Linked DNA regions of Oryctolagus cuniculus. The protein of the gene in region 5 purifies or fractionates together with the protein of the main gene of each other region. This does not show direct contact. Links are inferred from orthologs where the notes say so. Each region holds a gene or a part of one and is shown on either strand. Other genes may lie near its edges.

The links. Proteins that work in one complex are often made in the same cells at the same time.
Region 1: the proteins of RRP1B (region 5) and NCL purify together in Homo sapiens (affinity purification with mass spectrometry; 3 studies listed by BioGRID and IntAct, with this or other methods). This does not show direct contact. The link is inferred for Oryctolagus cuniculus from reciprocal best matches to the Homo sapiens genes RRP1B and NCL.
Region 2: the proteins of RRP1B (region 5) and SRSF6 purify together in Homo sapiens (affinity purification with mass spectrometry; 3 studies listed by BioGRID and IntAct, with this or other methods). This does not show direct contact. The link is inferred for Oryctolagus cuniculus from reciprocal best matches to the Homo sapiens genes RRP1B and SRSF6.
Region 3: the proteins of RRP1B (region 5) and NPM1 purify together in Homo sapiens (co-immunoprecipitation; 3 studies listed by BioGRID and IntAct, with this or other methods). This does not show direct contact. The link is inferred for Oryctolagus cuniculus from reciprocal best matches to the Homo sapiens genes RRP1B and NPM1.
Region 4: the proteins of RRP1B (region 5) and DDX21 purify together in Homo sapiens (affinity purification with mass spectrometry; 3 studies listed by BioGRID and IntAct, with this or other methods). This does not show direct contact. The link is inferred for Oryctolagus cuniculus from reciprocal best matches to the Homo sapiens genes RRP1B and DDX21.

The regions. Positions count from the first base shown.
Region 1 is NC_091434.1:7,817,127-7,821,261, reverse strand, and holds the start of NCL (nucleolin), read right to left. Parts: upstream 2,808-4,135; 5' UTR 2,597-2,807; coding exon 2,579-2,596; intron 1,660-2,578; coding exon 1,543-1,659; intron 550-1,542; coding exon 45-549; intron 1-44. UniProt on the Homo sapiens protein: Nucleolin is the major nucleolar protein of growing eukaryotic cells. It is found associated with intranucleolar chromatin and pre-ribosomal particles. It induces chromatin decondensation by binding to histone H1.
Region 2 is NC_091442.1:15,437,476-15,441,491, forward strand, and holds the start of SRSF6 (serine/arginine-rich splicing factor 6), read right to left. Parts: upstream 2,808-4,016; 5' UTR 2,636-2,807; coding exon 2,529-2,635; intron 2,301-2,528; coding exon 2,152-2,300; intron 921-2,151; coding exon 796-920; intron 658-795; coding exon 449-657; intron 257-448; coding exon 173-256; intron 68-172; coding exon 1-67. UniProt on the Homo sapiens protein: Plays a role in constitutive splicing and modulates the selection of alternative splice sites. Plays a role in the alternative splicing of MAPT/Tau exon 10. Binds to alternative exons of TNC pre-mRNA and promotes the expression of alternatively spliced TNC.
Region 3 is NC_091437.1:58,113,510-58,117,804, forward strand, and holds the start of NPM1 (nucleophosmin), read left to right. Parts: upstream 1-1,488; 5' UTR 1,489-1,821; coding exon 1,822-1,879; intron 1,880-3,704; coding exon 3,705-3,784; intron 3,785-4,253; coding exon 4,254-4,295. UniProt on the Homo sapiens protein: Involved in diverse cellular processes such as ribosome biogenesis, centrosome duplication, protein chaperoning, histone assembly, cell proliferation, and regulation of tumor suppressors p53/TP53 and ARF.
Region 4 is NC_091446.1:60,748,938-60,752,901, reverse strand, and holds the start of DDX21 (nucleolar RNA helicase 2), read right to left. Parts: upstream 2,808-3,964; 5' UTR 2,261-2,807; coding exon 2,174-2,260; intron 412-2,173; coding exon 1-411.
Region 5 is NC_091435.1:2,443,885-2,446,946, forward strand, and holds the end of RRP1B (ribosomal RNA processing protein 1 homolog B), read right to left. Parts: coding exon 2,921-3,062; intron 1,975-2,920; coding exon 1,825-1,974; intron 1,161-1,824; coding exon 1,097-1,160; intron 761-1,096; coding exon 567-760; 3' UTR 501-566; downstream 1-500. UniProt on the Homo sapiens protein: Positively regulates DNA damage-induced apoptosis by acting as a transcriptional coactivator of proapoptotic target genes of the transcriptional activator E2F1.

The sequences.
Region 1 (4,135 bases), on a different chromosome or scaffold from region 5:
ACGTGGAAACCTCCCAGAGCCAGGAGCCACCATGACTTCCTTACCGTCTTCCTCGTCCTCCTCGTCGTCGTCCTCGTCCTCATCGTCGTCTTCATCCTCGTCCTCCTCGTCCTCATCCTCGGAGGCGGGGGCCACCGCTGCTGCCTTCATGACCGCCGGCTCAAACTCATCCTCCTCGTCCTCCTCGTCATCTTCATCCTCGTCGTCGTCGTCCTCCTCGCTGTCCTCCTCCTCCTCCTCGTCGTCGCTGTCTTCCTTCTTGGCGTTCTTACCATTCTTGGCCCCCTTGGCGGGGAGGACCGCTCCCTTCTTTCCCGAGGCCGCTACCACTGCTTTGCCCAGCGCGGCCCCCTTCTTGCCCGACGCCACCACCGCTTTGGCTGGGGTAGCGGCCTTCTTCGCTGGCGTGGTGGCGGCTCCCTTTTTACCTGGAGTGACAACTGCTTTCTTGGCAGGAGTGGCAGCCGCAGGCTTTTTTGTCGGGGAAGCCACCGCCTTCTTGGCTGGAGCCGCAGCAGCTTTCTTGCCTTTCTTCTGTGGGATGACTATCTAAACAGCAAACACCAACAGTTAGTTCTGCTACATCCGAAAGGCAGCCCTGGTCCCAGTGGTGGATTCTGGCACTGCCTCTGGTTCAAGACTGCATATGTTCCATGTTAACATGTTAGGTTCAACAGTAAGTAAAGTGCTGTGGCGTAGCACATAAAACTGCTGCCGGCAGCCCATATGGGAGCCAATTCAAGCCCCAGCTGCTCTACTTCCATCCTGCTCTCCGCTGTGGCCTGGAAAGCAGAAGATGGCCCAGGCGCTTGGGCCCCTGCACCCACGTGAAGACCCAGAAGATCCTGGCTTCGGATAGGTCCAGCTCTGGACGTTGCAGCCACTTGGGGAGTGAACCAGTGGATGGGAGAACTCTGCCTCTCTATAACTCTCTTTGCAAATAAATAAATCTGAATATTAAAAATCATCTGGGGATCATACAGTGGGTAGTGGTACAGGATTCTTGTCCTGAGACAGGACCTGAGATAAAAATCAGCCTTAAATTGGCTGAGCAACCCTTACAAATTACAGCACATCAAATAAACACTGTATCTGTAAGAACCATTATTTACCTACATTTTAACTCCTATTCAAAGCTATTTTCATTAACTTCCTAGTTTATCAGATAGTTCACTTAAGAGTAAAGTCTTTGCTGAATTCTAAAAAACCGACTTTCCATGCAAGCAATGAACGTGAATGCTCAGGTGGCACCTTCAACCCACCCAATCGCTACAAACCTTACATACAGGGGGGGGACAGAATCCACCTGGTCCTTTATGCTGAGCAGGAGAAGTGTATCAACCTCACTCCAGCCGTGCAGAGGGCACAGATCCCAGATGCTCACACTCAGGTACTCACCCAACGGTCTCCTGCCATCTAAGCACCCCCCACCCCGGGTCACGTGAATAACACACTACTTTTCATATCCTTTTCAGACACCCAACACCATTCTGTCCACTGTGTAAGTGCAACCCAATTTCTCCTCGATCGCGACCCAGTTACCTCTTCTCCACTGCTGTCATCCTCGTCATCTTCCGACATCTCCTCGTCTTCACTATCTTCTTCTACCTCCTTGGGAGGAGGAGCCATTTTCTTGGGCTCACCTTGGTTTTTACCAGCCTAAAACGCACACAATGAGGACATGAACACCCCTCATCGATTCCACGGCCCACAATAAAATACAACCATCACCCTCCTCAACGCACTTTCAGCATTAAACATAACCGATCCTGAAACTGACCAACAGTACGGCCCATCAGAGTTTCCCTGTCAATCTTGACAAAACCTAAAAAACAAGTCCAAGGTGATGAAATAACCCATCTGCCTTTTTTTACCCTCAACCACTTAATTCACCCCTGGGTTCAACCCTAGCACCAGGCACCCTTCTTAGTAGCCAGCGGCCACTCTTCCAGGGAGGACCCCCCCCAGCCTCCGACGCACACCACCAGCGCCCTCGTCGGAACTCCGGGCAGCACCAGCGTCGCAAAAGCATAAAAGTAACAAAGCCACCTCGGACCCCAACCGGCCTGCCCCTCTCACCTGGCCGCGGCCACGTGGGGGTGCCCGGCGGCCACCATGTGCACGCACCCCGGCGCCTCCTTCCGGGGCCGGCGCACGTGGCGGCGGCCGGGGGGCCCCGGGCAGCTGGGCCAGGGCCGCGGGTTCGCGCCGGCGGGCCCCGGCCACCCCGCGGCCCACGCGGCGGGGCCCACGTGGCGGGCCGCGAGCCGGCGCACGTGCGGCCGGAGGCGGGGCCCGGCCCGCGCGCGGCGCACGAGTTGGATCTCACTTCCTCCCGCCGCCCCGCGCCCCGCGCCGCAGCCTTCCACGCCGCCCTCAGCACCTGCCGGAGCGCGCCGCACCTCGCCGCCAAGCAGCCAAGACACGCGAGAACTGCCCGCCAGTCGCGCGAGACTTCCCACAGCATGGCGCCCTCGAACGCGCCCGGGACGGCGCGCAGGCCCTCCTCCCCGCGACGCCGCGCGCGCTCCTGAGCAGCAGGCCTCGGCGCTCGCGCTCGCGCGCCCTCAGCGCTTACCTTGGCCAGCTTCACCATGATGGCGGCTTACGACGGCGGCGGCTGTGGCGCAGACGAGCCTAGAGGAACCCGAGCGGCGTCGATGGCGGCCGCGGGTGACTGAAGATGCCGGAGCACGTACGCCGGGCTGCCAGCGAGAGCTAGAGACTGAGGCGAAAGACTGAGCCTGCCCAGTAATCGCCTCTGGAAAGGCGACGACGGCGCCCTCGTGACTCCTCCTCTACCAATCAGAGCTCGCGTCCGTCGCGCGAGCCAATCGCAAGCCGCTAACTGTGCGCGGCGTGGGGCGGGGATTGGGCCGGAGTGGGCGGGCCCAGGCGGCCAAGGAGGGGAAGGGGGTCTGGCGGCCGCGTCCTGGAGGCGGGATTTGCTTTGTGCAAGGCCGGCGCTGATTGGCCCGGGGGTGCGCGGGTCGCAGAGTGTTCCTCCGCGGCCGGTCGTCCCGGCGCATGCGTCATGCGACGGGCTCTTTTGGCGCGGGGCGAGCGAGCGAGTGGCGCGGCGAACTGAGCGAACGCGGGGCGGTGGTCTCGGTTTCCAGAAAGTAGCCGGGTCCGGTAGACGTGTGCGCGGGAGGGCGCCGGTGCGCGCTCCTCGCTGAGCCTGCTTGCGGCTCTGGAGCGAGGGGTCGCGGCGGTTTCCTGCGGGTCAGCCCGAGGGCGCCGGAAGTTGAGGTTCGGCCAAGTTCCGAGTGGCCCTTTCGGGGGCCCGCCGGCCAGCCAGGGGCCCCAGACTCCCTGGCCGCTGGAGCGCCCTCCGGCCCACGTGCCTCCCGAGGGCTGCGGGTAGAGTTGTGAGCCGTGCACAAGCGCTCGGTTAGTCCCCCGTAACCACGCGGCAGGTGTTTGTCCCCGCGGTCCAGCAGCTTGGAGGTCGCGCCCGCGAGGGGCTTGGTCATGGTGGGGTGGGCAGCGGGACCTGGGCCGCCCGCCGCGCTTCCTCTGCCGTCAGTGTGGCGGCTGGGCGGGCAGCGGCACACGTGGCCCAGCAGTGGACCCGGCGCCCCGGGCGGGGGCTCGGAAGGTGGGCTTGGCGTTGTGTGCTCCTGCGGCGGCTCAGATGGGCGCCAGGCTTAGCGAACCAACCGGAGCCGGCCTCGGATGCCCCCCAGGCTTCTGGTAACCAGCTGCCCCAGCAGAACCTTTGATAAAAGTCGCCTCTGAAGGTTCAAAGTTGAGGAGGTCTGGGGGGGCCCGGGGTCGCTCTGTTTCTGTTGGAGAGGCAGAGTGGCAGACCTGCCCAGATGCCCAAAACAGCCAGGGCTGGGCCGGATCGAAGCCAGGGGCTCCATGCAGGCCTCCCCGGGAGCTGAGGGCCAGGGACCCCGGGACTCCAGCGTCCCTTGCTGTCTCCCATGTGGTCGGAAGTGGAGGTGGTGCCACATCCTAGGCACTCGGTCCGGCCCACGCGGCAGCTCAGCCTGCGGCGCCCCAGCTGCCCACCTGGGATTTTGCACTAAAGGCCTAGGAGCATTCTTCGGGGCGGCCGAGTTATTTTAGTTCTTGCTAGCACACCTGCGGCGATAGGAAGCCCAGGCCACTCACTGGGGCGCTCAGA
Region 2 (4,016 bases), on a different chromosome or scaffold from region 5:
GCTCTTCGATCTAGATTTCCTGCCTTTTGATCGAGAACGCGATCGACCTTTGCTCCGCGACCTGGATCTGGACACAGAAAAGCCCAATTTCTTTTAATGCCTTGCAGCACACACACGCACCCCACGAACAAGCACAGCAGCAGCCAGAAAAAAAGGACAACACAATATTTACCGGGAGCGACTTTTAGAAATACTTCCAGATCTACTGCGGCTGCTCCTGCGACTCCTACTTCGTGACCTTCTTCTAGAACGTGACCTGTAACAGAACCCACAAGGAGCCCTTAACCTCAACAATGTTTGTGCCTTATCAACAGATCAGCCACACACACACACAGAACGCATTTGCTTACCACAAAATTAAATGCACTAACAAAGCATATGGCAAAGAACCCAAGATGCATAACCAGAAGTACCAGTTACTGCTCTCCATGTTCTTCAAACAAGTTACCTAGATCTGCTTCCAGAGTAAGATCGCCTATGGCTTGTTCGTGGCTTATCTTCAATAAGCCTAATATTTCTGCCATTTATTTCTGTACCATCCAGTTTATCCAAAGCACGCTTCATGTCCGAGTAGGAGCGAAATTCAATTACACCTTCATTTGTGCGTTCTTTGTGAGCATCCGCATAGGTTACTTCACCTGCTTGGCGCATGAAATCCTAAAACAGCAACAAGACTGCTCAGGTGCAGAAATCTGAGGGAAAGTATCTATACCATACTGAGTTCTTAAAAAAATAAAGATTGCAAAAGAGTTTACTTTCAGCATGAATCTTAACCCCTTTCATTGTAGCACTTACCTTTAAATCTTGCCAACTGCACCGACTAGAAAGATTTTCTACAATTAGCCTGTACTCTGTACGAACAGGTGGTCCATATTTGTCTCTGCCAGAGGTTCTCCGACTGCTGTATCCACCACCACCACCTTTATCACACGAAGGGAACAATCAGGTGCTTGCAATGGTAAGGATGGATAACGTTTTTGAAAGTTAGTACAAACATATCAACTTTCATATACTGGAGTAGGACTTTGCTATTACACTGCTAAACCTTTGATACATTTGTGATTTGCCATAAATTAAATTAAGGGCAAGTCAAATAGACTAAATCCGACTAAACCTCTCCTACAATCTGTTAGAGAGTGACTGCTCCTTTATTCAATTTACCTCGCTAAGTTTTATTTTACAGAACATTGTAAAATATAAAACTTAACTGATTACATGCATTTCTACATTTTACAAAAATGTTTACTAGTTACACTAAGTACTTACATCACAGTGTGAGGTTTTTGGTGGTGGTTTGGCCACAAAACACGCAAGGTAACAGTCACCTAGTTCAGATTAACCAGTTTTGTCTAACCCTTGGAATCCTCACCATCACCCTGCGTCTAATGGCAAAAGGCTGCTGTCGTCATGGCTTCCGGTAAGGTCAGCCAAAGGGTCATAGGGCAAGGGTCACACAATGTATGGAAAAGCCAAGGCCAATCAGGAAAGGCAGTCATCTTAGCCTCAGTGGACACAGCCTCAGCCCCATTGGTCACTTTCAAATTGAAACATCAAGGACTTGTTAAAAAGTTTGAATTCAACATGCAACAATTTCAACATCAAACATTTAAAATAACCACCCCCACCCGTCCTCCCAATAACATGCCCCGGCAGTTCAAATGCAGCATAAAGCTTCTTTAGATTTAGTTTGTGGTAAAGTACCACGTTAGAATCGCATTTTCTTTGCCCCCACCAATTTTCCTAACTCCTAACTACAGGCTCCGCCCCTTTCCCCGCCCCCGCCCCCACCCCAACTCCCCCACTTCTAGCTAAGGCACTGACAGGTGAGCCGGGGGATTCGGTCAGTACGGCCGCCCCTCGCTCCCTCCGTGGGCAGCACCCACGTCAGTGCCAACGGGGCTCCGCACACGCCACCCCCTCCCACCGCGGCCCGCACCAAGCCCCAAGGCAAACACCCGGACCCAATCCCCGCGCTCCGGTGTCCCCCGGCTTCCCCGGGCAGGCGGGGCAGCGGCGGGGCCCGGGCGCGCCGGGACCAAACGACCCCCGGCCCCCGCGCCTGCCCGGGCTGGGAAGCCCCGCCCTCCACCCCGGTGCCCGCGTCCGCCCCCGGGGTCCCAAGGACGCGGAGCGCGCGGGGATGCGACTCACTGCGGCTTCCGTAGCTGTAGCCGTCGCGATCGCGGCGCGGGCCCCGGGCGTGCTCCACGATCACGCGCTCGCCGCAGAGCTCCTTGCCGTTCAGCTCGTAAACGGCGTCGTCGGCGTCGCGGGAGTCCTCGAACTCCACGAAGCCGTACCTGGGGGCGGCCGAGGGCCGGGCCGGCGGGGGCGTCGTTAGCCGGGGGCGCGCACGTACGCGCCCCCGCGGCCGCCCGCGCGCGCCCGCGGCGCCGCGCCGCCGCCATCTTGGGAGGCCCTGCCACGCGGCGCCGCGGCCTCAGCGGCCTGCGTTGCCGGACGGCCCCCGCCGCCGCCGCCAGGCCCGGGGCGCTGGGCGCGGACGCGGGCGCCCAGACCCGACTCACCCGTTTTTTAGGTCTACTTCGAGGAGTCGGCCATAGCCACTGAAAAAGCGCTGTATGTCCTTCTCCCGGACGTTGTAGCTCAGGCGTCCTATGTAGACGCGCGGCATGTCCGTGGCGGGCGTGGTCCCGGAGGCTGGCTGTCGAACGGCTGGCCGCAAGGCGGTAGCCGCGGTGCGGGTGCGGGGACGGCGAAAGCCCGAACACGCGCCTCACACCGCAGCGGCGGCCGAGTCCAGCCACACAATGGTGCGCGCGCGCGCCAGGGCTACGCTATATGGGCGGCCGGAGGGGGCGTGGCCCGGCGCGTGACGTCAGCGCGCAACACGCTGCCTTCCCGCTGCGAGCGCGGGGCTGGAGGGTGCCGGTGGACTCCGCAGCCCGTGAGATTGCGGTAAAAAGTGTTAGCTTGTTCGCGACCTTGATTTTCTCAAGTCTCCCTACAAAGTTTTGTGAATACAGTGTCCCGTGGTTCAGCCGCGGACTTGTCTTCGGACTTACACCTTTAAAAAACTTCCATAGGGCGATCGCCTGGGGGCTGGTGCTTGGGCGGGACGCTAAAAAAAAATTCCCCGGTTTTCATTGGTTCTCAAGGTTGTCATAATAAGACCCTTGGTTTTTGATTGGGTCCTCCAAACGAGGCTGCGGGTTCCCGCCGCCTATTGGTTCGCGCTCACTTTGGTGGGGAACGCGGTTGAGCAGCCTGTGTAGCAGAACCCGCGGGGCGCGCGAGGGGGTCGCGGTGACTCTGCCAAGGTCGCGCTGTGGGCGCCCAGCCGTGGGGGCCGCTGCCCCTCGGGGGCTCCTCCGCCCCCTTCAGCCGTTCCCCTCCCCCTCATGAAGCGCCGGCCTCTTGAGTCGCCCGAAGGTTGGGCTGTGCGTGGGAATCCCACGCTCGCTGCGGGTGCCCGAGAAGGCTGAGCAAGCCCTCCCACGGCGGAGAGCGTGTCCTAAATGCTAGTCTCTACTCCCAGGGTTGGAAAGCGCGGGAATATGCATTTGTGAGTTTATCAATAGAGATGGCATTTAGTGCTGGAGAACGAGGCGAGAACTGAAATGACATTTTTTAAAGTACTTTTTTTTTAAAAAAATATTTTATTTATTTATTTGAAAGTCAGAGTTACACAGAGAGAAGAGGTAGAGACAGAGAGAGAGGTCTTCCATCCGCTGGTTCACTCCCCAATTGGCCACAACGGACCGAACTGCGCCGATCCGAAGCCAGAAGCCAGGAGCTTCTTCCCAGTCTTCCACATGTGGCTTGGTCTCCCTTGTCGATGCAGGGGCCCAAGGACTTTCGCTGCTTTTCCAGGCACATTAGCAGGAAGCTGGATCAGATGTGGAGCAATTGGGACTGGAACCGGTGCCTGTACTGATGTGGTGCAACAGGCAACAGCTTAACTGGCTAGGGCATAGTTGTGGCCCCGACGTTTATCTTTTTTTTTTAAAGATTTTATTTATTTATTTGAGAGGTAGAGTTACAGACAGTGAGAG
Region 3 (4,295 bases), on a different chromosome or scaffold from region 5:
GGAGAGGAGTAGGACCCACCCAAGCACACTATTGACCCATAGCAAGACTTTTGAAATGTAAATGTTGGTTTGTTTCCAAGGCCTGTATCCTTGTGCCATCACACAAATATTCCCACTTTCAAAAAATTCCCATTTTCTTTGACCACTGGCACACAGATAGGCTAATGTCTACCAAGCTACGTTAATAAAGTTGGAGGACACTGGATAAAATGTGATCTTACTTAAACAATAAAAGAAGTATTTCTGAGTGTATGTACATATATTCCTAAGTACCCATCCTTTTACTGTGGAAGTCCATTTCTTAGGCTATATTCTATTAAACTACTTTCAGATATCCATAAAAATATAGGTACAAAGATGTTTACCTAAATAATATTTTTAGTAAAATTAGGTAGAAAATATGCCTATCAATGGAGGAACAAATAAATTATAACATACCTACATTATACTACCATAGACAAACATCTATCCAAAACATTTTTTTAAAAGTTTACTTATTTACTTGAAAGTCAGAATTACAGAGAGGGAGAGGCAGAGAGAGAGAGAGAGAGAGAGAGAGAGAGAGGTCGTCCATCCGCTGGTTCACTCCCCAAATGGCTGCAATGGTCGGTGTGGACCAGGCAAAGCCAGGAGCCAGGAGCTTCTTCCCCGTCTCCCACGTGGGTGCGGGGGCCCAAGGACTTGGGACATTAGGCCATTACCAGGGAGCTGGATGAAGTGGAGCAGCCGGGACTCAAACCTCAAACCGGCGCCACCATCACAGTACTTCCTAATTCGATGTATTGAGGTAAAAAAAAAAAAAAAAAAAAAAAAAAAAAAAAAAATTCCTTAAGAAGCCCAGCGCTCAGGGTCTGTGAGGTCTTACGTGTTTGTCAAGTAGTTTAAAATGCTAATTCCCAGGCTGCCTTCCAAAGATTCGAATTAAGGTTCCTGCATTTAAATCGAGTCAAACGTTTCCTTTCGCCGGGAATGTTAAAGGTTAGGAAGTGCACATCCCCAGAGGCTGCACCGGCGGAGGCGGCTGACTCGGTCCCCGTGTGGCCCCAAGTTGCCATAAAAATGAGGACTTTGTTGATTTTTCCTCAGAAAGGGCGGATTTATAAGAACACAGAGTCCTGTAAGTCTGGCCAATAAAGAATAAAAACCGTCGTCCACTCGTTCTCCCGCTCTGGCACCTGAGACTAGCTGTGGGGAAGCCATTAGCTCCGAGCCCAGGCTTTCGGGCAGGTCAAAATCCCGCGCTGATTATGCCATCTTGGAGGCTTGCGGGAGACGAGGGGATGGAGGAAGGAGAATGGAGCTGCTTTCTGGCTTATTCCCGACTGCCTGAGCCTCCGCATCCAGCACAGCGAAGGCCTGCTGTCGCCATCTTGCAGGGTGGGCTGCGCAGGCTCTTGGCGCGAAGCCGACGCGCTGGAACCGGAGAGGACGTGGAACCGCCGGAGGTGGGGAGCGCGCGCCGCAAGGGGAAAGCGCGCCTGCGCATCGGCGACGGCGGCAGAGGGGTGGGGCAGGGTTTCGAGTGCGCGTGCCCGGTGTGAGCCCGCGAAGTACCTGGAAGAGGTGGGGGGAGAGGTAGAGAGGAGTGTGTTGAAGAGCGCTTGCGCAGCAGCGCGACCGTACTGCGAGAAGGGGCTGAAGAGCACGCGCGCGGAGGCGGGACTTGGAAAGCTATCGCGAGATTTCTGGTGGCTATATATACTAGCGGGGAGCCCGCGTCCTTTCCCTGGCGTGATTCCGTCCTGCGCGGCTGTTCTTTGCAGCAGTGGGCGTCTAATCTCCGTCCGCTTTCTCTCCTACCCAAGTTCGTCCCTCCGCCTCATGGAAGATTCGATGGACATGGACATGAGCCCCCTGAGGCCCCAGAACTATCTTTTCGGTAACTATTGTGGGGGTTGAAGCGAGGCCGAGCAGGGCCTGGTGGTGGCTTTAAGGGTTGGGGGGAGGGGGCGGCGGGAGTCTGACTGAGGCCCGGGCTGTTGGAAAAAGGCCGGCAGACTGGAGGCCGGAGAGAATAGGGAGCAGACCGCAGGCGTCCTGGTGCTGAGCGGGGTGGGAGCTGGGAGCAGAGAGTGAGCCGTGTGAAAGGGGTGGGGAGGAGCGGCGGCCCCCGGCCTGGGGCGTGAGCGGGCCATGGCCCAAGGCCGTCTGAAGGTTCGGCGTTGCCTGGGCTGCGAAGTAGGATTCCAGGCGTGATTTTTTGTCCCGTAGTGTGTAAGTCGGCTGGCTTGTTGCTAGGCCGTGTTACAGGAGGTTGGGGGGGGTGCATGGAGGGGCGTGGAAGTCCCTGCTGGAGGAGGAGGTGGGTGCAGCCTGGCGTCCTCATCCAGAGTTCCGGGCCCGGAGACAGCTCGGGTGCCTCAGCCAGTGAACCGGGGAGGGGATGTGCGGCGGGGCTTGAGGAGGCCGCGACCGCCCGAAGCACGTGGTTGCCACGTGGTTGGGGGAAGGGAGGGGGTGTGGGCTGTACATCCGGGGCTCTGGCATCTTGTCACCCACCCACCCCCCGCCCCAGCCAGGGGTCCTGTGGCTGCTTTGAGACTGTTGGGCGGGAAGTGATAGGTGTAGTGGCGGATTGAACTAGGATTCTGGAAGTCTTTGTCCAGCGTCTGCAGCATCAACTGTACCGTAACTGGCCTTTTTAGAGTCCTCTTTCTGCCTCAGCTGGTAGACGGACCTAAACCACAATACAGGTCTGATGCTCAGAGAAGTAATTAGGTTAAGGTTGCGCTTAAAAACCAGATTTAAACAAAATCCTTGATTGCAGAGCCAGCGCTTCATAAGTGAGGCTTATTTTTTTTCCAGGAAGGGTGTAGCGGAGGTAGTCCAGCATGGATTTTGTTATGTTCACCAACGTTCTCGGGTTGTAACCAGAGATTGGGAACCACAGCGCCCCCGTCCCCCGCGAACTCACACTACTATGTATGCATAGTTTTAAGGAATTACAGTAGAACTTAATTCTGGGAACCCTTTGTTGGTTAGACATGGAAATAGATGCTAATCCTACCCCTAGTTTACAAACCATGTTGAGGTTTGTTAGCACTAGCATGCTTAAGTATCTATTGTGAATGGGAGTGAAGTGTAACCACGTAAATTTTTATTCTGGCAATAATTAAAACAGTTTCCCGATGGAGTGGGAGTAGATAATGTGCACGGTAGTGCACTTTAGGACTTAATTCTTAGCCATTTTTAGAGGTTTCTGGTGATTTTATAAACAATAATTCTTTTTTTTGGCCCTTTATATTGGAAGTGTCCTTGATTGTGTCTGTTGCCTCTATTTCTAATGTGCATCACTTTGGAATATTGACCCTTACAAGTTGATTCTTTTATGTTGGTACTTTTCTCTGTAGATGAAAGCTGTTCATCTGAGAAACCATTCTCATTGCTAATTTTCCACTATTGGGAGTTTAGATAGATAATTCCAGTTTTTTAAATGGTTGGGAATTAACTATTATATATTAGGCTTCATTATTGATATGTCTGCAGAAGTAGTAGTGCTTGTCTCAGTGTATTGAAAAATACTGTAATGAAAATGCAACTAATACAGACTTGTAAGGACCTTAAATGATTTTTAAAAATGAGTGTTGAGGAAACCAGAAAGAGACCATTCTTCCTACTCTGTGGTAGCTAAAGTAGAGGAAAACTACTTAAAAGGTTAGCTTTGTTAATTTTCTGCTTGTTAGAATTGCTTTTTTCTTTTACAGGTTGTGAACTAAAGGCTGACAAAGATTATCACTTTAAAGTGGACAATGATGAAAATGAGCACCAGTTATCTTTAAGAACGGTACTTAAGCTTTTAAAATAAACATTTCTTGATTTCAGCAATTTAATTGTCCCCTATTTCTCTGCTTATAAGAGTTTTTATGATTGGATATTGTATATACCTCATCAATAAACTTGATTAAAAAGCTGGGCATGTTCACTGCTACCTGGTAATCTGGTAAAGTCAAGTCACCGTTTTATTATCTTGCTTCATTTGAATCATGAAAGATCTCTAGGGTGTCTGCCAGACGAACCTACTCAGCTTTGTAGTGGGTGTTTAATAGGTGTTCTGTATAATATGTGTGCATTTTTAAGTATTTCTTCAAGTTTACTGAACATGAGAAATTGGTTTGCCAATCTTACTAAACTTGAAGGTAGTGTTGGCACAAGTTGGAAATAATGATAAAAGTCATATTTGGTATTTTTAAACACAGATTTCCGAGGCAGGATTGTAAAACAGTTGGAAATTAAAGTTTACAAACTGTTCACAGGTCAGTTTAGGCGCTGGTGCCAAGGATGAACTGCACATTGTT
Region 4 (3,964 bases), on a different chromosome or scaffold from region 5:
ACTGGCAGCTCCATCGGCATTCGAGTCAGGTTCGGAGTGCGGGAGGCCATTCTTCATCTTGGGACTCTTCTCTCCAATTTCTCCATTCACTTCCTTTTCTTTCTTCATCTTCTTGGGCTTAGGAGCGCCTATTTCTTCTGACGGCTCTTCACTTTTTATTACTTTTTTGGTTTTAGAAGAAGCAGTTTTCTTTTCAACGTTCTCCTTTTTCTTACTTTTGGCTTTAGGAGAAACAACTTCATCTTGAGATGGTTCCTCTTGTTTTTTCTCCTTTTTGGACTTAGGAGGATTCAAGTCAACCTCAGATGGCTCTTTCTTCTTAGCTTTTTTAGCTTTAGGGGAAACCATTTCTTCCTTTTCTTCTGCTGATTCTTCAATTTTATTAGATTTTGGCTTCTGTTTTTTATCTTTCTAAAAAGATAATGAAAATGCAAACACTGAACAATGCAGATAAACGTTTGCACAGTCCATCAAATATGGATTATTTCAGGATTGCTTTCAATGATAAATAACACAATTCAGGGGCATTTCAACAGTTGTACTTTATCTGTGACAGATACAAATCAAACAGTATGCTTTTTTAGTACTGTGTCTTAGCTAAGATGGAGATAAAAAGTTCATGAAAAAGTATATTTTGGTGCAAAAAATTTGGAAATCCTGTAGTTATTTTGTTACCTGTATTTTCCATATACTTTTGAAGCCCCTTGTTTATCAAGTTTCATTAGCTTGAGATCAAGGGTGTCTCTTAGTAACTGTTCATATTGGTCGAACTTTGTCTGACAATTGTAAAACCAGATATGATTAAGGGAATGACTCATAGTGGCTCAAGGGATGCTCCAACAGGCTCTAAACTAAATACTATAAAAAAGTGATCAAGTACAGTTCCAATTCTGAAAGCAATAATGCTATATATGTACACAGATGGAGGGTGTTAAATAGATTTTCTTTCTTCCTGTTAAAATTTTTGTACAGACAAAACAGGAACTCACACCATTTGCACCTTGTGTATCTCTCACAATGGCAAATGAACTTACATAAAGACACTGTTTCAAACATAATCACATAAACTCACAACCCATCATCCCCTTATGTAAAACAAAATAAATGCGCAAGTTACAAGTACACGGAAAAGATAAAATCTCAAAAACCAAATCAGGTGACTACAGCTCTTCCCTGAAATTTCTGATTCTCTCCATCTTTTCACATTACTGAAAACTTTTAACAACTGGACAGGTGCAGCCACCCTACAAACTCTCTAGCAGCACCTCGGCCAATTCCAGCAGGATGGAGACTACTGCGCTAACCAATGTGTCTCCCTAAAACTTCCGATCCGACCTGTGGACTCAAAGCAAGCACGAGGGGTAACCCGTCCACCACATGACCCCCTGGACTTCGGTTTTTCATCCCTTAGTTTCAAAAATTAAGAGGTAATTTCCTATCTGTAAGTCCAGATGGTTGCTCCTACTCTGACTATCCCACAGAGGAACACACTGACTGATGCAGAAACTTAAACCAGGACCTCCAATAACAGCAAAGAAGCAGACGACGACGACCCGGGGAATTTAAAATTAATGCACACTGCTGCCCTATGTAGAACAAAAACAAGGACAAAAAAAGCGATATTCAATTAGCACTAGTCCATGTGTTTGTTTTTCCATGGGAGATGTGGCCAATAAATTTAGAAGGCTTTAATTACCTCATCTTCTAAGCGCTGCTTACCTGAAAGCAAACTGTACTTCCCCAGCTAAGGCTTTAAAAAAAAAAAACACCCACTGCAGACACCACGCACGTGCGCAGATGGCCACAAGACCTCTCTAGTCTGGTCCACTGCTACGGTCCCCACCTGGACTTCGGAGTCCAGTGAGAGGACAAGCCGGAACCTGTGATCCCAGTTCCCGGGGCCACGTGGGACGCCGGTCCCGTCCAGCTCTGCGGCGGCCTCACGGCCAGCGCCCCCGGGACGCACGGATGCGTCAAAGACGGGAGCAAGGGGCCGGCGCGCGGCACAGCCGGCTCCGGCCCGCGGGCCACGCGCCTCCCAACCCGGGGGGAGCACCCCTCCTGGGCGCCGCTGGCGGGGACCAACGCGCGTTCCGCGGCTCTGCCGGATCTCGACTCGCGCCACGCGCTCGCACTCCCGCCCCTCGCCAGCACCCGGGCCCCTCGGTATCACCTTCTCATTTTGCTTTCGCGTCTTCTCCACTTTTCCCATGGTCGTGGCTGATTCCAAACTGGCGTCGCTACGGAGTTTGCCCGGCATCACTCAGCACCCGCCGCGCAGGCCGTCCGGTGCCCTCAACCGCGTGGAGAGGAAAAGATAGTACTTCCCCTTTGGCCCCCCCAACTCGCGTCACTTCCTGCGGCAAAGCATTTCCGGCGGAAGCAGGAAGCGCAAGGAAGGAGGCGGGTGCTGGGGTAGTTCCTGGCCTGAAAGTGGCAGGGCTTAGCGAAGCGACCGCTTTCGGCGCTTGCCCAGACGGCACCTACAAAAGGATAGAACTGGAGAACCACTAAGGTTAGCATTGCATTCTGAAACACTGGCCGGATTCTCGCCAGCCACACCTGATAATGGATGACTTGTGACTGATTGCTTTTGAGTGGCGCTTCTTCATTGCCTACTTTTTTATGTATTTGAAAGTCAGAGTTACACAGAGAGAAGAGGCAGAGAGAGAGAGAGAGAGAGAGAGAGGTCTTCCATCCGCTGGTTCATTCCCCAGATGTCTGCAACGGCCGGAGCTGTGCCGATCGGAAGCCAGGATCCAGGGGCTTCTTCCAGGTCTCCCACGCAGGTGCAGGGGCCCAAGGACCTAGATTATCCTCCACCTCTTTCCCAGGCCATAGCAGAGAGCTGGATCGGAAGAGGAGCAACCGGGACTAGAACCGGCACCCATATGGGATGCCAGTGCTTCAGGCCAGGGCATTAACCCGCTGAGCCACAGCGCCAGTCCCCTCTTCAGTGCCTTCTATCAGGTTGCTCAAGCTTACAAGGTATTTTTACTACAAACACGTGGGATTTGCGTCCTTAATCATTTTGTGGAAACTTTTATAATTGACGCCAAACTCACGAGCCTGGGTAAGAGCCAGAGTTCAGTCGGGTCTTTCATGCATGTGTGCCGGCAACAAACATCTAGAGCATTCCCCCAAGTCGGTGGGAAAAGCGGCATGCAGACAGCCCACAAGTCTCATCTTCCAGAAGCTTGGTGGGAGAGAGAGGCCTCAGTTGTTTTGAAGGCACAAAGAGGTACCTAAACCGACCTTGGCACCCAAGCCATGTACATCTCTGATGGAAGTTGACAGGGGCTCTTCATCGTGAGTGGTTTGGACACCATAGTACTTCAGGAAGTTGAGGGGAAAATGGCCAATTAAATGATCAATGACACTGTTGTTAAGCTTTTCCTACAGAACCAGTGGTCCAATGCACTGGGAAACAATTTATTTTACAAAATGGGTTGGAATCCTATCTATGAAGACCTGCCTTGGCCACTATTTTGAGTTTCCATGTATGAAACGGGGTACCAAAACCGTTAACAAAATAAACTGAGAAAATTAGACAGTGAATGGTTTGGCAGGGCCTGGCACATTGAGTACAATAAATGAGAGCTCTTCAAACTCATAGGTCAGGCCAGCATCGTGGCATGGTGGGAAAAGCCCATTGCCCCTGAGGCTGGCATCTCATATGCGTGCCTGTTGGAGTCCCACCTGCTCCACTTCTGATCTAGCTCCCTGATAATGGCCTAGGAAAGCAAAAGAGAATGGCCCAAGTCCTTGGGCCCCTGCCACCCACATGGGAGACCCACAAGAAGCTCCTGGCTCCCGGCGTTGGCTGTTGTGGCCATTTGGGGAGTAAACCAGCTGATGGAGGATCTCTGTCTCCCCTTCTCTGTAAATCTTTCAAATAAACGCTGGAAGTTTTATTTCTGTATTTCATGAGATTAGTTTTTCCTGCACATTTTTCATCACTTTT
Region 5 (3,062 bases):
CCGCCCCAGCCCTGTTGGACTCCCTGAGGACCCCCCTCAGCCCTGTGTCCCCGCCCAGCTGCTGGGGACACCCTGAAGACCACATAAAAACCGTGGCTCGCCAGGGCAACTGTGCGCAGACACAGGCAGGTGCTTCAGCGCCCACTTCCTGGCTTCCGAGAGCCTGGGTCCAGACGCTGACGCTGCCCCTCAGCGGGGCTCACCCCGAGACAGGGACGCTGCTTCTGGGGACGCAGCCACCTGGGCCCTCGGCTCACACACGTGCACAGAGAGGACCGGAAGCACTGGCCTGGGTGAGGAGTGTGCTCCACGTAAGAACACGCGGGGCTGGGCGGGGGCCGCGGTGCCCGGCTGCCTGGTGGGGAGACGCCGGCCATCCTCACCCGCGCCAACGTCGGCTCAGAGCTGCCCAGAGCCCTGGGGGCTCCCCTAGCCTGGCGGGAAGCAGGCGACATTCAGAACCCCGCGCACACGGGAATTTTAATAGAAAAGGCCGGGCATTTAGAAAGTTATAATTTATAGAATACTCTGTACAAAAGCAGTCTTCCAAAAGGGGCCCCCGCGCCTCAGAAGAAATCCATGGCCGTCGGCCTCTTCTTTGGGGTGGCAGCCAGCGGCTTCTTGGCCACCAGGGGCGTGCCGGCCGGCGAGCTCGTGGGCGTCTTCAGCACTCCGTGGAGGGGTCTCTGCTCAGGGTTGAAGGCCACGCGGGAGGGGCCCGTGGGACTGACTAAGATGCTCTTGTCCGTCTTCTTGAACTCTGCAAGGGAACGGAAGGCCCGAGGTGAGGGGACGACCCCGGGCCGCAGCCCCCAGCCCCCAGCCCCCCGGCCAGGGCCGAGGCGGAGCCTGTCCCCAGTTCTGCACGAGGCGGGAGTGCCCGGCAGGCCTCTCCTCTGCACACCACGCACGGGGGCCCGAGCCTCAGCAGAGGCAGCCGGGCTGGGGACTGCTGGGCCCCGACGGCCTCTCGGGGGCCCAGCTCCAAGCAGCTGGGGAGCTGCCCGGGAAACCGGCTCTCGGGAGGCCCACGCCCACGGGCCCCCGGGACGGCTCCTGACCCCATGCCCACCGGCTCCCAGCCTCCCCGACTTGCCTGCGGTCGTGTTTCTGCTCAGCCCGAAGGTGACCCTCTTGGCGCTGGACGGCGTCCTGTTCAGCTGGGGAAGAAACAGCACGAGGGGGCGACACTGACCGGGCTGCCGGCTCTCGCTGGAGACCCTGCCCAGCGGGGAGGCCCCCGGCACACGGGTGCAGCCTCGACTACACGTCCCAGCGCTCGGGTCTGTCAGGCTGCGCAGGCCACCCAGCGTGTTCTGAAGGAAGCAAACCCCAGCCAGGACGTCGATGACAGCCCGGCCGACAGGAGACGCTCGGCACCAGCCATGACCAGGGTCCCCACTCCAAGCTGCAGGCTGCACGGCGCTGCCGAGACCACACCCCTGGTGGACTTGAACTTCAGGGGGCAACAGGTGCGAAACTGCCTGCTGTTCACGTGCAAGACTGGGCTACCTGGACAGCGATGCGCCTAGAAGTGGGTCCCCTGGGCGTCACAGCACCCCGGCCCCCGAGAACCCTGGGCCTCTGGTGCAGCCGCACTCCCAGTTCTCCACCTGTGCCCTGACAGCAGATGCGCGGCAGTGAGCAGGCCCTGCCAGTGAGAGCCCTGGGGCTGAGGCAGGACGGGGTGAGTGGCTACACGGTGGCTCCCCACGGCGCCAGGCGGCTGACCACTCCAGAAGCAACCGGGCCCTAGAACAGGCACCTGTCTCAGGCGGGAGCTGGGGCCTGAGTGCAGGGCTCCGACGGCCGCGGGGCCCGTACCTGGACGGCAGGACGTGGCGGGCAGGTCGTGGGGCTGCTCTTTGCTTTCCTGAAGAACAGGGGCTTTGGCGAGAGGGACGTGTCGAACTTCACAAAGTCGCTCTCGGTCCTCAGCAGCTTCTTCACGGGGCTGAGGGGCCCGCGGCCTCCCTAGGGGCGAGAGGCACAGGCAGGGATGGCATCGCTGGGCCTCCTGCCAGGCTGTGCACAGGAAGTGAAACCGGGACAGCGCCCCGGGCAGCGCGGAGTGGCCCCGGCTCCCTCTGTCAGAGCCCCACTCACGCTGCACCCATAGGGTGTCAATCGTCCGGCGACCCTCGTCCGGGGACCCTCGCTCCTCCTCCCTGCGCAGGCCTGTGCGCTCAACTCTCCTGTTTTCCCACCTGCCCACCCCAGTCCCCGCTGGGCAGTGGGGCACCTGCAGTGGTTCTGGATCTGAGGCGCTAAGAGGCCGCGCAGCCAGCGCCGCGTGGGTGGTTTCGGCAGGTTCCTGGTGTGCCTGCGCCCGGGGAAGGGCAGCCCTGGGGCCCGGTGCCACCCCTGCTGCCACCAGCCACAGGGACAGGACGCTCCTGCCGGGAGCACCCGGGAGGCCCCGTGCAGGTAGATGGAGGGAAGGTCTCAGCGTACCCGTCTTCCTCTGCCTTCCCCGCCCCAGGTCCCAAGGACCACACTGTCACCCACTCCCCACTCGGCGCTGGGCCCACGGTCACGGCCACCGCGGAGCCGTGCGCGAGCATTGGCGCTGGACGAGGGTCCCGAGGAGCTGGTCTGGCTCGGTGGCTGGGGGTCGCTGCCACCTGCAGGCCATGGTGTGGAGGACACGGCCAGCGCCTGGCCCTGCCTGGCTCCGCAGAACCCAGCACAAGGGGCGGGGCTCCCTCCTGCACCGGCAGGAGACGGCAGGAGACGGGGGCACTGTCAGCCTGCACACAGGGCTTTTCCCAGCTCAGCGGCGACCCCTTCCCGAGTGTGGAAGTGCTTGGCCACGAGACCTGCGCCCGTCACCTCCTGGCGGGGAAAGGCTGCGACAAACCCCGTGTCTGACTGGCCAGCCCCTCCCCCGCCGACGCTGCAGCCCACCCCCCCACCTTACCAGAGCCGAGGTCGGCCTGCCTTCGGGCCCCAGCAGGTCCGACATCCTCCTTTTCCTCCGCTTCTTCAAGATGGCGCTCTTCTGCCGGGCCAGGCCCTGCACGTCGAGGCTGCCCGGCCCAGACTTCCTGTTCTGCGACTTC